Diceros bicornis minor: one gene and its partner. The protein of the gene in region 1 interacts with the protein of each later gene in a pairwise test. Links are inferred from orthologs where the notes say so. Each region holds a gene or a part of one and is shown in the gene's direction. Other genes may lie near its edges.

Region 1 (8,264 bases):
TGAGGAAGGGCTAAAGGGAATAGTTTGGTCCCATTGGATATATTTTAGTGGAACTACAGGTATCAACTCAATCTTAAAATTACTGCTCTGGAACACATTAAAATTTAGATTATTATTTAACACGCTTTGCAAGATTCAGAAAATTTTCTTTATCTCAGGCAAATAACACACAGAATCATAACACTCTAAGTTGTTTTTAGCTATTTCTCCTGACATTTACCTCCATATTTCTAACCAATATGATTATACTACTTTTTTTCCATTTTAGACATTATCTGTTAACTTCCTACTGTAGAAAATGAAGACTTAGCTCTCTGAAACTATTCTCTCCGTCATCCCTAACCCTGTCCTCCACAAATCCTGTGCTTTGAAAATAGCTCTTTTGTAATTTCTTATTGTTACTACTTACTGTTTGCATTATTTTGGCTACACAAAATTTTCACAGCTAAGCCAAGTAGTGTACTATGATTACATTTTCTTTCTTTTAAAACCTTTTTTTTTCCTGGAGTTAATAATTGATTTTCCCTAGTTTCCTATGTAATTGTTACTAATTCTTCCACTTAAATTGTCTGATTTTATTATAAAATTCCTCTCAATGTGGTCACATACATCATATGATCTATTATTTCTATGTTTTTTCCTTAGAGACATCCTTTGTAAAGAACTTTAGAATCTACGTGAAATGATTGGCCACTAGACCTGGTACATAAATTTCATCCTGGAAATTCCATTCCCTGGTCATTGTGTTGAATTCCCGGCTTCCTTGTTGCCATGTCTTTCCCACTTTGTTTATTCTCTCATTTGAGTGGAACTATCCCTCTAGTAGTTTCTTGAGAAGAGGGAAAAAATTTAAGGCTCTTCATATAATTTTAAGGTAGAAATAAGTTCCCATCAAAATTTTGAAGGTATTTTGACTGTTTTATTTCCAGTGTTGCTAGTGAGAAATATAATAGCATTCAGATTCCCAATACCTAATATATAATGTATTTTTTCTCTGTCTGATAACATTTATGATCATTTGCTTACCTCTAAGATTCTGAAATTTCACAATAATGTTTCTTGGTGTGGTCTATTTTTATTCCTTGTGTTACTATACTCTGTGGATTCCCTTCAACCTGAAGACTTGGGTCATTAGTTCTCAGAAATTTTCTGAAATTTTTTTCTTTTAAAAATCTCTCCTCTCAATTTTCTCTGAAATACTCCTGAGAAATGTGGTTTCCCTCTAAGGTGACCAATGAATTTTCAAGTTGTAAGTAAATCTCTGGAATTTGTTGCTGCCTCTGCTATCTTTCCCAAAGAGATGATTCTAGAATAGTAAGAATCTGAAGCCAGAAAGAAATGGAGGACTTCTTCCACAGAGCAGGAAACACTACCTCAACTCCCATTTGACCTGGATGTTATTAACCACAGAGACCCTCATTCAGGTGTTTCCTCTTGGAAACCTGGGCTTCTTCTGGAAACCCTACCTAACATGTCCACCATCTTTGATACCACTCATGGAAAGAAAGAGAGAAAGAAAGGGGAGGTGGAGAGGGAGGAAGGAGGGTAGGAAGGAAGGAAGGAAAGATAGAAGGAAGGAAGAAAAGAGAAAGGGGAAAAGAAAGAAAAGAAGGAAAGGAGCAAGGGAGGGAGGAATTGATGACCCCTTGTTTTGTGTTAATCTTTCCGTGGTATTTGTGGCCATGAGAAAACTTACTTATTATTTTTGTTTACATGAGTTTCTCCCATAAAATTGTAAGCTCCTTTAGGAAAGGTAGAATATATTATTTAAGTTTATATTCCCAATGTTTAGCAGAGTGTCTGCGGCCCATTAGGCACTAAATAAACACTTGTTGAATAAATGATTATGATAAAACAGCATTGCTGTCAGTTCTACAGTAATGCCCGCTTGATTTCAGCCAGAAGTATTTCATTTGCACCATGTTCTCCCAGGCTACAGAATCAGTAATAGTGATTATCGTGAGGCTCTTCTTCCCTAAGGACAACTGCCAGGCCAAAATATAAGGCACGTGTTTATTTCAGAAGTAAGTACAAAGGAGAGCATGATTGATATCAAATACAGGTCAGTGATTCTCAAATTAGAATGTCTCCAATTCTTGTTGTTTTTTAGTACAATAATGTTCAATTTTGATTAACTTTAAAATACATACCGTATGACATATAACGCTTATGTTAAGAAATGGTGTTACAAAATTAACCCAAACAATAAATTTGAAATCACTTTGTGTCTAAACATCTTATGCACTAATATCACAAAAAGAAAATTTGGACATTTCACAAATATTTTCCAGAATCGTTACATAATTAGAGGTACGTAGAGTCTCTTGTAATATGAATATAATGGTGTTTGAACACACGAATTTAAGAAGTGAAAAATCCCCATGGAAATACACTTCATAAAATCTACACCCTAGAATGACCTACACTTTTCCAGATCCTTCATCCCAGTCTTCAGCAACTGAGCTCATTCTGAATGAAACTGTGTAAAAAGGATTACCAAAAAAAATGTAATACAAATTTGCAAAATAAGTAGTTAGTAAGTAGAAATATAATTTGAAATAAGGCAGCCTGGCGAGGAGACTCACAGGGAAAGTCGGGTCTTTGACAAAGACGTTTCAATCTTACAGCATGGATTCCAGTCAATTCAGATGATTTAGAAAATGAGGCTAATATTCTCAGATGCAATGGACGATAATCCAATGTTCTTTTTTATTAATATTCTGTTCAGCCTTTAGAACACAGTGGCAGATTTCAACTATAAATCTTACAAATCAGAATTTAAATAGGAAGTATGGATAAGAAAGCTTGCAGAGATAAATTTTTTAAAAATCTGTGAGACCACAGGATATGGACTGAGCACTCAAAAGGTAGTGATGATGGTCATAATCACAATTAGGAAACTTATGTCTAAAACTAAAGACACTGTACCTTCACAAGAATGATCTCGAAATGTCCAAAGAAGCTAGATTAGAAGTTAGGACAGAAGGAGTTAATGTTGTGTTGAATCTATCTAATTTACAATCCCTCTTTGCAGCTAGATTGTCTCAGAACTTGTTGAACTGTCTTCTTTGACGTTATAAAAATACTTACCTACTTGCCAAGGTTGAGTGAAATAAGTTAATTAATATTATGGTAAGGTCTTAACAGCAAAATTTGTATGTAATCTGTTCCCCAACGGGTTAATAAAACTCTATTTTTCCTTAGTAAAAGAAATGAAACCAGAATTCAGTCTCAACTTAAATGTAAATGTGGCTTAGGAAGGACACAGTAACACCACTTGGCATTTCTTAAGTTACCCTGATCTTTCTACCCTGGATAAAAATAAAGGAAAGAAAGCATCTAAAACAGAACCGCCCTATTACAACCCAAATTTGCCCATGAAAGCAGAAATTTTCTGGCCTGCATCTATGCGTTTTTTCCACTTTCCGTAGCCTCCCACACTATAATGACTTATGCATGGAATTCAGGGACTTTATATTTTCTTTTGAGTGCAAAATGAATGCCAACATGGAAAATGTGAATGCTGACCATTTTCAAAGATGGTACAGACCTTTGAGGGAACCAAATAGTATCCAGAAAGATATTTGGTCAGGCTGGAGTACCAAATTCTAGTACATTCCTCAACTTCACTGGTCTTTACAGGATGGGAATATTTACCTTTCTGGCATGTGCTTAGTCAGAATAGCTTGAAATTTTTGGTGGGGAGTCAGAATCCTTTTCAATAGACTGAAGTGACCCAAAACCAGCACAGCAGTTAATCTTGTTTATGGCTAAAATCAATAAGCCAATCCATGTTACGTGCTAACAGTTCTTATGGGGAGTAAAAACCAGACGTGTCTGCTCTTTGAATGGGATATTTCTTTTACAGTGCAGTAATTTGGTTTCATTATGGGACAACATTTAGGTCAGTCGTTTTTATAAGGCTGAGTTTACATTGGTATAATTTGTTTCCTTTAATGAAGAGTTTGAATAATTCAAGGCAAAAGAATGGATACCTGGAATGTGTTTATATTCTGACCTTATCTTATGCCTGGTTTTCTTGTTTACTTCAATTTTTATGGCCAAATTCTAACAGAAGTATACAAACCAAACTCCTTAGAAGCCAAAGAGAACGAGACTGAAATTTCTGAAGAATTGTCCCACTTGTGTTATCATGCGCGTATCTTCTTTTTGGTTCACCTGAACTCTTGCCTGAGGAGTTTAGATTTTATTCATACTAAAGATATGTGGAGGGAAGGGGCAGAGGTAGACTCTCATTCCATGGAGACAAGAAAGTTTGGCTGTCTTAGCCTGGGCCTTAGAACCAGGGCTTAGTCTGAATCTTGGCTTACTTCCTCGATGTATAATCTTGGGCAAGTCATTTAATTTCTCTAAACTTCATTGATACTAGCTTGCTAGCTAGTAGTAGCAGTAATAGAATGCATGTAAATGTGTTTATCCTAAGGCATTGTGTATGTATGTGTTATGCTTTCTTATCCATGAATTATGTGTTAATATGAGCTAAACTGGATTATTCCATGTTTCTCAGTCACTCCCTGGAGTAAATACATCCTGGTAATTTGGAATCTGCTTTAGCTCTTTCACACACTAATACATTACATGTGCTATCTCTACAGCTCAATTTTGCATGAACAGTTCCCTAGTGGCCTTTGTAATGACTTGTGTTCACAAAAGTAAACCAGGAAAGCATGTAAGCTAGAGCAACAAGTTTCTTCCAGTGACTTTTATTAAATATTGCAATCCAAATATTTTCTTTATGGAGTTTTAAATGTTCAATATTTATATTTTTATTCATTAATAGAACAATCAGGCCAGCTGCATTTAAAAGTATTGTCAATAATTTTTGACCAGAAATATAAAATGGGAAATTTTCTTCTAATATTAAGCTGCTTCTTAAAGAAGTAATACTATTAAAGTTATTAAACAGAAGCTTTATAAAATCTCTTACTTAATCTTTCATAGTACAGATTAAGTGCTCTCTTCTACAAGATATATTTTGACTTTAGAACTATATCCTGAACTATGTGTTTTTTTAAATTTTTTAATAGGTGGTGAAATGACAAAACTCACTCTCCTCTTCAAGTAGTGAATTTGAAGTAATATTTCATCAAACTCCATCTCCTGTAGTCTCATATGGAATGTATCTCTCTATCTGTTGTTAAACTACGATGACATGTCTGTTGCTATCAGAAAGAGAAGCTGGGAAGAACATGTGACCCAATGGATGGGACAGCCTTTTAATTCTGATGATTATAACACAGCATGTCATCATGGACTAGGAGCTGACAGCTTGCAGGCAAGTATGGAAAAAGATGCAACTTTAAATGTGGACCGCAAAGAAAAGTGTGCTTCACTACCAGACTGCTGTCCTGGATCAGAGCTGAGAGATTTTCCTGGGAGGCCAATGGGTCACATTTCAAAAAAGGTGGATGAAAATGACAGCCAAGAAGGTGAAGATCAGTTTCTTTCTCTGGAGGCCAGCACGGAAACGCTAGTGCACGTTTCTGATGAGGATACCGATTCCGATCTGTATCTTCCAGATGATAAACAGATTTTAATTACCCAAGAGCGTAAAACATCAGACCAACATAGTGTCACAGGAGCGGGCTCCTTGGTAAAGACACTGCCCATCATGGAAAGTAACCAAGATTCTTATAACTCCTGGGGAATGGCTGCTGGAGCTGATTTAGTGCTGGTAGAAGAAAGGGGGGAGAGAAAGGTTGTCGACATTATAAGCAAAAGCCTGGAGCTTTGTAATGATATAAGCTTAAGTGAAATAAAAGAGGCATCCAAAATCAATGCATGCGATTCTTTGAATGTGAAAGATATTGTGCCTGAGAAGCAATTGCTTAATTCTGCTGTAATTGCTCAGCAACGAAGGAAACCCGACTTCCCTAAAGATGGACATGAAAGAAACACCTGCAGTCTAGTCCAAGATGAGTTCTTGGCTATTCCTTGTACAGACAGAGGACTGCCATTATTGAAAGCAGATTCTGGAAGCTGCCTTCTGCAGCCTCCTTCCTGCCCTAGGGGAATGTCAGCTGAAAATGACCTGGAGAAGAGTGGTTTCTCAGAACATCAAAACAAAAGTCTTCCAAGGGTCAACTCAGGAGATGGTATGCAGTGTTTACACTTAAAGGAGACTCTGGCCACCCAGGAACCCACAGATAACCAAGTCAGACTTCGCAAAAGAAAGGTAAGACACATGCACAGATTATCTGGCTTTTGGAATTTTGTAAATATCCTTGTTTCCATCACTTATTATTTTGCTAGGATTAAAGAGATATTGTAGTGTAGTGTACCTGCAGTGTAATTGTATAACTCAGACAGGATCTTCTTGGGGAAACCATCAAGATATGTAAAAGTTTAAATATAATAACCTATCCATTTTACTAGTAATATTTACGGTGGTTTATGAACATTCTATTTTGGAATTGTATTGAAGACAGAATTGGTTTCACTTTCTTTAGTTGGAATTAAATAGCCACCAGATAGCTCACACTTCAAGCCCTATCTAATTTTTAGAAAACAAGTCATGGTATTTTTTTATTTAATATCATTTATTTGGGCCTGTTTCTTTCTCCCTTTAAAAAGTATATTTTATCATAGTAAAAATAGTAGAAATCACATATTAAAAATGATCCCTTTACATATACAAAGGCAATAGTACCCCCTCCATCAACCAAGATATGCTGATGCTATTTTAAATGATACCCTGGCACATTCACTATCAATACATATATCAACTTTTCTTTAACTCTTCACCAAAAAGGGCAAATAACTGAAATTATTTTTTCATGCCAAAGCCCCTTTGACTAATCTATAGACGCCATGCTCCGTTAAGAAGTTTCCAGATGAGAGAAGCAAAGATTGGAGTGGAGCTACATGAAGCATAGTTTAGCTAGTGAGCTGTTGACCAAAGTTTGCCTTATCTTTAGGATTTCCCCCAAATTCTTCCAACAATGTAGTGCTCTATAATCCTAGTGTCAATACAGGTACAATTTCTTCTGTAAATCCAACATGGCCATTGGCATTGAAAAAACCCTGCAGATTGGACGCTTTAGGGTAACATCCTTGCCCCACTTTTGATACAATATTAATCTATAATTGCAATTCTGCTAACACAAAACTAATGTGCTTAGTTCTGTTCAACTGAGGCTATCTACACTGAGAAAAAAAATCTCCAACTCTCTTTGTGGTGAAGAAATCTGGTTTCCAAAAACTGTGGTTTTGCTAACAAACTAGATCAGTAACATGTCATAAGCTAGTTTAAGTGAAGTCAAAGACTTTACAGCAATGATCAATGTGCTCAAATTGTATGCCTACAGAGCATTCTGTGCTTCTGGCAAACTCTTCCTTCCTTAAATTGTATTTAAATGTTAATGCTCCGTAAAGTTGTTATGGTTGGAAAGCTCAGGTCACTTTTTCAGAAATGCCCATATATCCTATCAAATCTGTTGGAGGGAATGCAATAATGACTTAAGAAAGTATTAACTGACCTATGACATAGTTCCCCTAAAATAAGACAAACCCTGCCCAACTGCTGACAGAAACATTAAACATTCCAGAAACATATGCTCACCACTTGGACATTTATATCAATACTAAGAATGCTGGAAAGAATTTGCTCTTGGACATGTCACTATAGCATGATTGCATTGTGAGAGCTGTAATTATATCTCATTTACAAGTTCTAACTTAAATATTCTATTTTAAACATTTCATCATTCTAAAGTGTTATGGCATTGTCTGGTGGAATATTTGCGTTGACTCTACAACTCATTTGGGATGCTTTGTAATAAACAGATTAAATGTAAAATTTCAGATATGGAATTTATTCTGGAAAAAGGCAGTTTTCAAAGAAGTGTCTAAAATCAAAACGTGTAGGAATTTTTGTTCTATTTGTTGTTGAAAGAGTGTTAAAATACCTTTGAATTGGCAATCAGCCATTTTAGAACTTTACCAAAAGAAATAATAAAACAAATTCATAAAAATATATGTACAGAGATGTTCATCGTTTTATTGTGTGACAAAGAAAGGAAACAACTCAAATTTCCACCAGTAAAGAATTTGCTTGATTATTGTTTATCTATAGTATGGAATGCTATGAAGCCACTAAAAAGATGGGGTGAGATCCACATGCACTAACTTTGAATGATGCTCATGATATAGTGTATCTGGAAAAAGACAGTGATAGACCAATACGTATAGCACATCCCAACCTTATATGACAAAATGTGTATATAGATAGACATAGATATAGA
Region 2 (7,589 bases), on another chromosome or scaffold:
TACTGTAATCCCTGCAGAGCTATTTACTTTTTCATCAAAATAATTTCCTTTAACCTGTATCTCCTCCATGTTATGTTCTCAAGACATCTCCCTAATGAGGAAATTTGTGCTGTTGAGGATTTTAAGATGAGGCCAACAAATGCAGTAGGGATGTTAGAGGTTAGGAGTAAAGGCTTCCTTTCAAAATTTTTGGGTCATGGAAATCTTTTTACACTATTTATATATTTGGAAGGCTATTTGTACAGCTGAGTATGTACTGGGGCTTAAAACACATTTGGGATTATTCAAACACAGGTGTAAGCTCTTTATCACTTCTGGCTTAGTCTTCCTCTCAGTAACTCCTCATATATTTGCTCTGAACCCCTTGAGGTTCTCTAAAATTGTATTTTTGACCCAGAATTACCTTTTCACATATTGAGGTATTAAAACTGTGAAATATTTCAGAATGTATTATTCATATTTGAGTTGCCAATAAAATCAGAATGAGCCAAATTAATTTTTTTAAACTAAATGTTCAGACTCTTTTCACCCACAAGTCTTTGTCCAGCATTTCTGATTATTTACTCTTCATTGAATACTATGTTTAATTCAATATTGGGAGTAACTTTTCTAAAATCACAGATGCCATAGATTGTTTTACTAAAGGTAAAATCTATTTTGAATTTTCCTCTCTTTTCTTTTGTATATTGTTCTGTTTTTCAGTACCTCCTTGTTTAATATTATCTGTGAATTTAATTAACAGACTGTTTACTTCCCTTTGTTAACTGATGTTATGTAACACCACACCTAACACCAACGCCTCTCTCCAAATAGATATTTCATAATTTTTTTTTTTTAATTGTTCTTGGTTTTTGACTCATGAAACTTCAAGGAGTATACTTCAAGGAGAATAGTCTTATGTCAGAAAATTCAGGGGCTTGAAAGAAAAGAAAAGGGAAACACAGAAGTAGAAACTGAGGGAGCAATTAACAGAAAAAAAGAGAACATGAGACTATAAATGAGAGAAGGGTAGAAGATCAAGGTAAGTAGAAAAAGAAAAAAGGCAACAGACAAAAATAAAGAAGGTAGAAACATTTAACCCTTTTGGAAAAAATAAAGTCACTGAAGATAGAAGACTGATTTGAGATTAAGGAAATACCCAAGAAATAGTGATCAAAGCCTAGATCTGTCCAGTAAAAGGAGTATATAAAATATTTGAAAATACCTCATCAAAAAAATGTGGTAGTCTGTTTGGATGAAAAAGCACAACTCTAAGATTGAATATAAGGTAAGATACTGGTATTAGGTTGATATACAAATAGACATAGCAGATCTTTCCTACTAGTAGAGCAACTGATGTCCAAAGATGTGAGCTGATTTAATCCAGCGTTTGTTAAAAGGATGGAGATCTGTTAAAGCATTTGGCAAGGATGCCTAGCACAGGGCTAGGCAGTAGGAAAAACCACAGGTTCTCTTAGCAGAATAGTTTTGTGGATACATACACCTAAAAGTAACTAGAAAACAGTATAACTCAGTATACAGTTGGTGTTGGACTGCATTAAATATTGGCCTTTAAGTGCTAAAGAATTTTCAAAAAAGGGGGAGGAGGTAATTGTGCAAATTAGAGTAGTGAGCCTGATCTGGAAGCTCAGGCAGTGTTCAGATAGTGCGTGGGCACTTAGAGAAGATCAGTGATAACCAAGAGCTGGCGATAACCTGCCGGAATAATGTCCTACATTCAGAGGCTGATGATGGTAATTGGCGTGGGAGTGTTGCAGGATTGGGATGCTAACACACTGCAGGCTTTCAAGCACAGGCTACATGAAAATTTGTTGCCAGTGAGTGGAATAGGTACTTTGACGGTCTCTTCTAACTCTGAGGGTCTAAGTTTAAAAGAAAAACTATTTTCAGGGAGGTGACTGTAAGAAGTAGGACTTGATTATTCTCTTCAAGACCATGGCTCTACTTCATTATGCACTTTCTCATTTTCTAACCTCCTTTCTAGAACAGCACAGAGCTTAGCAACCCAATACCAACATCTCTTACCCACCTACCTAATGAATGACATTGAGCCGGCTTTCTCATCTATTCTTTCTCTCATTCAGGATAATTGCACACCTCCCTCTTGATTAGCATACTACACTCTAGGACAGCGGTTCTTAAACGTAAATGTGTCAACTTGGAGGGCTCATTAAAACATAGATTGCCGCACAGTTTCTGATTCAGAGGGTCTGGGGTGGGGCCCCAAAATTTGCATTTTTACCAGTTCCTAGGATAGTGCTGGTCTGAGACCACTCTTGTGACTAGTTCATCTTCACTCTGCCAGTGGTACACTGCATAGGAGGTGAGCACGATGAGGGAGTCCTCAGGATTACCGTTTAATCAAGTTTGTCAGTGATTTGGCAAATAGGCTTATGCAAACTTCTAAAGTAAAGGAAAATGTCTTGCGTGCACCTTTCGCCCTCTTTTAGTGGTCTATTCCTTTTTTCCTGGGCCTCTATAACAGCCCCTTCCCATGCCCTATGTGGTACTATATTGGTTTGATCATCTTTAGCAGAGAAAATATTGATCTCAAAGATTAAATCAAGATTAAATATTAAAAAGATATTTAGAAAGATTAAATATTGATGTTTGAGATCAATATTTTATGGTATTTAATGTGGCATTCCTCCTGGGAGAATTTAAAAGATAAGAACAATATATGAATCCAAAAGGGCAAATTACTGGTACTGTAATTTCAAACAATGGGAATGATTCCTCCACGTACACGAATGCATATATTTTATTATAGAAGACAAAACAAAACCCATCTCTTTGGCTATATTAAGGGTGAGATTTCAGTTTATTTCTAATTTTTGAAACTATACTTAATTGTAACCGGCACTTGGGGACCCTCTTGACATTCGCCTTGTTGAAGGTGCTCTGTGCGTTCACGTGTGCATCGCGAAGCATGCCCTGCCGTCTTTCGCACACAAACGAGGACAAAAGTGCGTTGATTAGTGATGTCTCTGGCATCCCTCTTCTTCCACACCTCATTAATACTCAACCGACTTGCAATGGTACTCAACAAACTTGCTATGGCACAGGTAAGTGTGTGTGTGTGTGTGTGTGTGTGTGAGAGCGAGCGAGCGAGAGAGCGAGCGCAAGCGCGGAGGTGGGGGGGAGGGAGGATACGGATGGTTGGTGAAGAAAACAAAACGTGTCTAGAAATCTGGCTTCACAACCACTATTTCCACCAAAATTCCTTGCCCTCCTCATATGGACCCCTTTATCCATTTCGTTTTCTTCTCTTGAGTTTCAGAACCTAGTTTTTTATTTCATTTTATTTTTTAGTTTGTAATAGTTGTACACTGATTTATATTAGGCAACGAAAATGAAAACATTAATAGTACTGCCTGGACCTTCGAAGCAATATCCACCTTCCCCCGGGGCCTTGGGCGTCTGGTTTCTGCGCCGCGGGCCAAGGGTGTGTTTTCTACGGGTCAGGAAGTGGGGCACTGGCTTCGCGGCATCTTCCTTTCCCGTTCCCCATTCCGTCCTCTCACCGCCTCCCTGTCCCTCCCGTCTTCACGGCGCCCGGCGGCCGCGTGCTCAGGTACTCACTCCTCCCCTGCCCCGGCCCACCGGCCCACCGAACAAAGCCCAGGGAGGCAGGCGCGCGCCGCCGGCGACACCGACGGGAGGAGCGGCCGCGCCGCCACGCGCCAGAACCGGAGCGGGACAGCCGGCGCGTCCGCTCCCCGCGCGTCCCCGCCGCTTCCGTCCCTCCCGACTCTTCCTTTTCCTCCCTCCAGGCCCAGCCCCCCCACCCCCGCGCCGGGAACGCGCCTGCGCAGAAGCGCCGTCTCCCTCCTCCCCCGCCCTTCCTTCCCTCCGCTCCTCCTCCTGTGCCCCGCCTTCCTTTCTCTCTGGTCGATTTCACTGAGCGCTCCAGGTTGGGAGCAGTTCAGTCGGTTTCCCCAGTACCCCGCCCCCCTTCCTCTTATCTCCCCACCCCTCCCATCTGTAGCCCGGTGGAGGATGAAGCGGCTGCAGTGGCCCCAGCCCCAGCAGCGGCACCGGCGGTGGCTGCGGTGGAGGTGGCCGGAACTGGGGTGGTGAAGAAGCGGTGGCGGCGGCGGCGGCGGTGGCTGAAGGAGCGGCAGCCGCCCCAGCCGCTTCCCCTGCGCTTCCCTTCCTCTTTAGGGCAGCCAGGAAGTTTTTCGCTTCTGTGCATGTGTGTGTGCGTGAGTGTGGGTGTGTAAGGTGAAGGTTTGGGCGGCGTTTGTGCAGGCGTTGGGTTTTTTGCCCACTTCGCTTCCCGTAACCCGGGCAGCTCCGGAGCCTGGGCTGTGGCCCGAGGAGGGGGCGCGGCGGCGGGCTCTCTCCTTTTGTTGTTGTTTCCTCCGCCTGGGGAGCTGACGGGGGGACGCGCCTGGGTGGGGCGGCTCGGAGCCCGGGCCTGGTGGCCCTCGGGGCTCCCGGGCGGGCAGGGGAGGGCAGAGTCGAGCGGGCTTCAACATGATGGCGGCCGAGGCCGGCAGTGAGGAGGGCGGCCCGGTGACCGCCGGGGCCGCAGGAGGCGGCGCGGCCGCGGGCTCCAGTGCCTATCCGGCAGTGTGTCGGGTGAAGATCCCCGCGGCCCTGCCTGTGGCAGCCGCCTCGTATCCTGGGCTGGCGGAGGCCGCAGTGGCCGGGACTCTGGGTGGCGGAGCCGCTGCGGGGTCAGGGTTCCTAGGGGCCGTGTCCGTGGCGGGGGCGCTGGGGGGAGCCGGACTGTCAGGGGGAGGTGCTGCTGCTGGCGTGGCTGGTGCTGCCGCCGCCGGACCTGGCGGGGAGATGGCTCCCACCAAGGGGACCACTTCGTTGCCTGCCGAGCCCTTCGGGGCGGGCGGCGGATTCCCTCCTCTGCCGCCGCCTCCTCAGCTGCCCACTTTGGGCGCCGGCCTGGGAACAGTGGACGAAGGTGACTCTCTGGATGGACCAGAATACGAGGAGGAAGAGGTGGCCATCCCGCTGACCGCTCCTCCAACTAACCAGTAAGTCAAGACCACTGTTCTGGGACTGGGGAAGCTGGCTCCTGGAAAGAAGTGGGAAAACGTACCTCGTTCTTTCTGCTGTGATTTGTTCTGAGAAGTTTGGAAGCTTCAGGTTCCATGCGTAGGGATTTAATATGATCTCTCATCTTCCCCACAGGCATACTCCCTGGCGTCTTTGTCTATTTATTGCTCCTCTGGGAAGATGTAAAGTTTTTAAGATGGGAAAATGTGTATCCAGTGAGAACCGGATATGGTTCTGCCCCTTCCAAATTGAGCTGGCGGCCTGGGATTCAGCAGAGCTTGCAGCCGCCTAGGCAGTCATAGTCTGTATTAACTTGTGTGTGTTCCCGATTGAAGCTAGATGATGAGTGAGAAGCTCTGAATACGAGTATTTGAATCAGTATTGTACTGATATCATTTGAAACATGCATTGGTCAGAATGCTTTGCTTTTGTTGCACTGCAAATCCCACCTTCTGCTTAGTGAAAACCTAGAGGTGCAGAAAAGTCTTTGGATCACTTATGAAAACGTGGGTCAGCGAGGAAGGAAAGGAGTTCCGTGAATTACAGGTGTGATTAAGGGCCCATACTCCAGCAATGTTTGTAACTTGTGCCATAGAATTCCCATTTATTAATATTAGTGTAATTCTTTTATAGTTGTGACTTTGTAAGTACAACATTGAAGTAAAACAAATTAATAGTGTACTTCCCTTCAACACTTTTTCTTGGTGGCCGATACAATATTTTATTTGAGAATTAATTTTGACAGTCTACTGCAGAATATATAGGACAAATGACTTTTCTATATAAAGTTAGCACCTCCCCCTTACTTGTTCTCTACCTAGGTTAACTTATGGATGCATTTATAAAGGTGGACCTTGAGGAGAGGAAAATGTTGATGGGAAGTGGTAATAGTAGACAAAACTTGTTTTATAGATCACTCAGATCTGTCTTAATTGACCTTTAGAATTTCGACAACCTTTGATGAGTATCAGAGGAAAAAAGATTTGGTTTATATGTTCACAGTCACTCTGGACCGTTGAAAGGTTTTTTTTTTGGATAAGCATCTTTGGAGGATTTAGAAAGGACTTAAAAAATGACTTAGGAAAAGATTCTGTAGTAATCCATTTTTGACTTAAGGCTACATCTTCTGATACTTAAGGTGGAAAATTAAAGTTAGTCTTATTTATGTCAGCCATAGTATAGAGGTGTTGTATTCCTTTTATAGTGCTCAATATGAGTTAAATTTTTTTGTCTAATTTTGTTCCAACTTATCATGTTATGTCTATGTATTGCAGACTTTTCTAAAGGTGTTCTGAGAGTGTTAAAAATTCCAGTTTCCAGCACTGTTTCACCTTCAAGCCATTTTGAAAAAGTCAGATTTAAATATTAAGTGCCCACTATATGCTCAGCACTGTGGTTATAATAAAGTGCAACTTTTCATACTGAAAGAATATAGTCTTATTCCAGTTCATAACTGAATTGAATTAGGCATATTTAGTATATTGTAGTTCTAAATTTTTTTAAGTCAAATTTATTTTGTAGAGCAATTCTAGGTTCACGGCAAAATTGAGCAGAAAATACAGAGCATTCCCATTAAATTTTTAATAATAAACATGAATGGGTACATAGAACAAATTGTGTTTGTGAGAAGTCCATTGTGTAAGATTTTCATCATTATCACTTATATGTATTTAGGAATAAAAATAATATTTGTATGACTGTATATGAGAATTGTTCATGTTCTAAAAAGTATCCTCCATTTCTAGTATGTTTTTTAAATTTGCCACTGAGAAGTACAAATTTCCCTCTTTTCTTTATCTTAGATATCAACCCAGAGTCACTGGAGGCAATACAGTGTAGTGGTTAAGCGTGCAAATTCTGAAGTTAGACAAGATTTGGGTTGGAATCCTGACTCTGCCACTTACTAGCTGTGTGATCTTGGAAAGGTCAGTTTCCCCATCTGTAAAATGGGGATAATAATGGTACCTCCCTCATATGGTCGTTTTTAAAGTTTAATGAAAACCTTGAACATATTCAGCACAGTGCCTGGCACATAGTAAGTGTTTAGTAAATAGTCTCCCCAAATAACAAGAATATAATTTTATTGTCATTAAATTGCCTACTAATTCTATTGGTGTAGGGACTCTTTTCCTAATAGCTATTTGAGAGAATGTTTTGAACTCCAAAGACCTGTCTGCCATAATTAATTATATTAAAATTTTATTTTTACTTCATAAAAGCTTCTAGCAGATTAAGCAGGTTCAGAGATGAAATTCAAGTGTTTTCTATAAATTCCTATTTTCAATGAAAGGAGGAAAAAGCCTTAGTGACTTGGTTAAATAATGTCAAATTTCCCATAAAAGTATTGAAGAAATGTTTTTGGACTAAATTAATATTTGACTAGTGACTGTTCACTGTAGTTATTGATAGCATGGTATTAAGGAAGTTGGGGTCCCAAGATTGAGTCCACAGTGGTTTGTTAGACTAGGGTTCCACCTTGTATCCAGCTAGTGTGGTGTGTTGCTCACAAGAGAGTCAAGTGACAGTATGTAGATAGACCAGTGCCAATATATTAAGGCTGTTAGTATTTT

The links. The genes of interacting proteins can lie anywhere in the genome.
Region 2: the proteins of DLC1 (region 1) and RASA1 interact in binary tests that used the Homo sapiens proteins (3 or more experiments, as listed by UniProt). The link is inferred for Diceros bicornis minor from reciprocal best matches to the Homo sapiens genes DLC1 and RASA1.

The regions. Positions count from the first base shown.
Region 1 is NC_080768.1:25,140,961-25,149,224, forward strand, and holds the start of DLC1 (rho GTPase-activating protein 7), read left to right. Parts: upstream 1-5,173; coding exon 5,174-6,196; intron 6,197-8,264. UniProt on the Homo sapiens protein: Functions as a GTPase-activating protein for the small GTPases RHOA, RHOB, RHOC and CDC42, terminating their downstream signaling.
Region 2 is NC_080740.1:14,384,442-14,392,030, forward strand, and holds the start of RASA1 (ras GTPase-activating protein 1), read left to right. Parts: upstream 1-4,405; 5' UTR 4,406-4,479; coding exon 4,480-4,997; intron 4,998-7,589. UniProt on the Homo sapiens protein: Inhibitory regulator of the Ras-cyclic AMP pathway. Stimulates the GTPase of normal but not oncogenic Ras p21; this stimulation may be further increased in the presence of NCK1.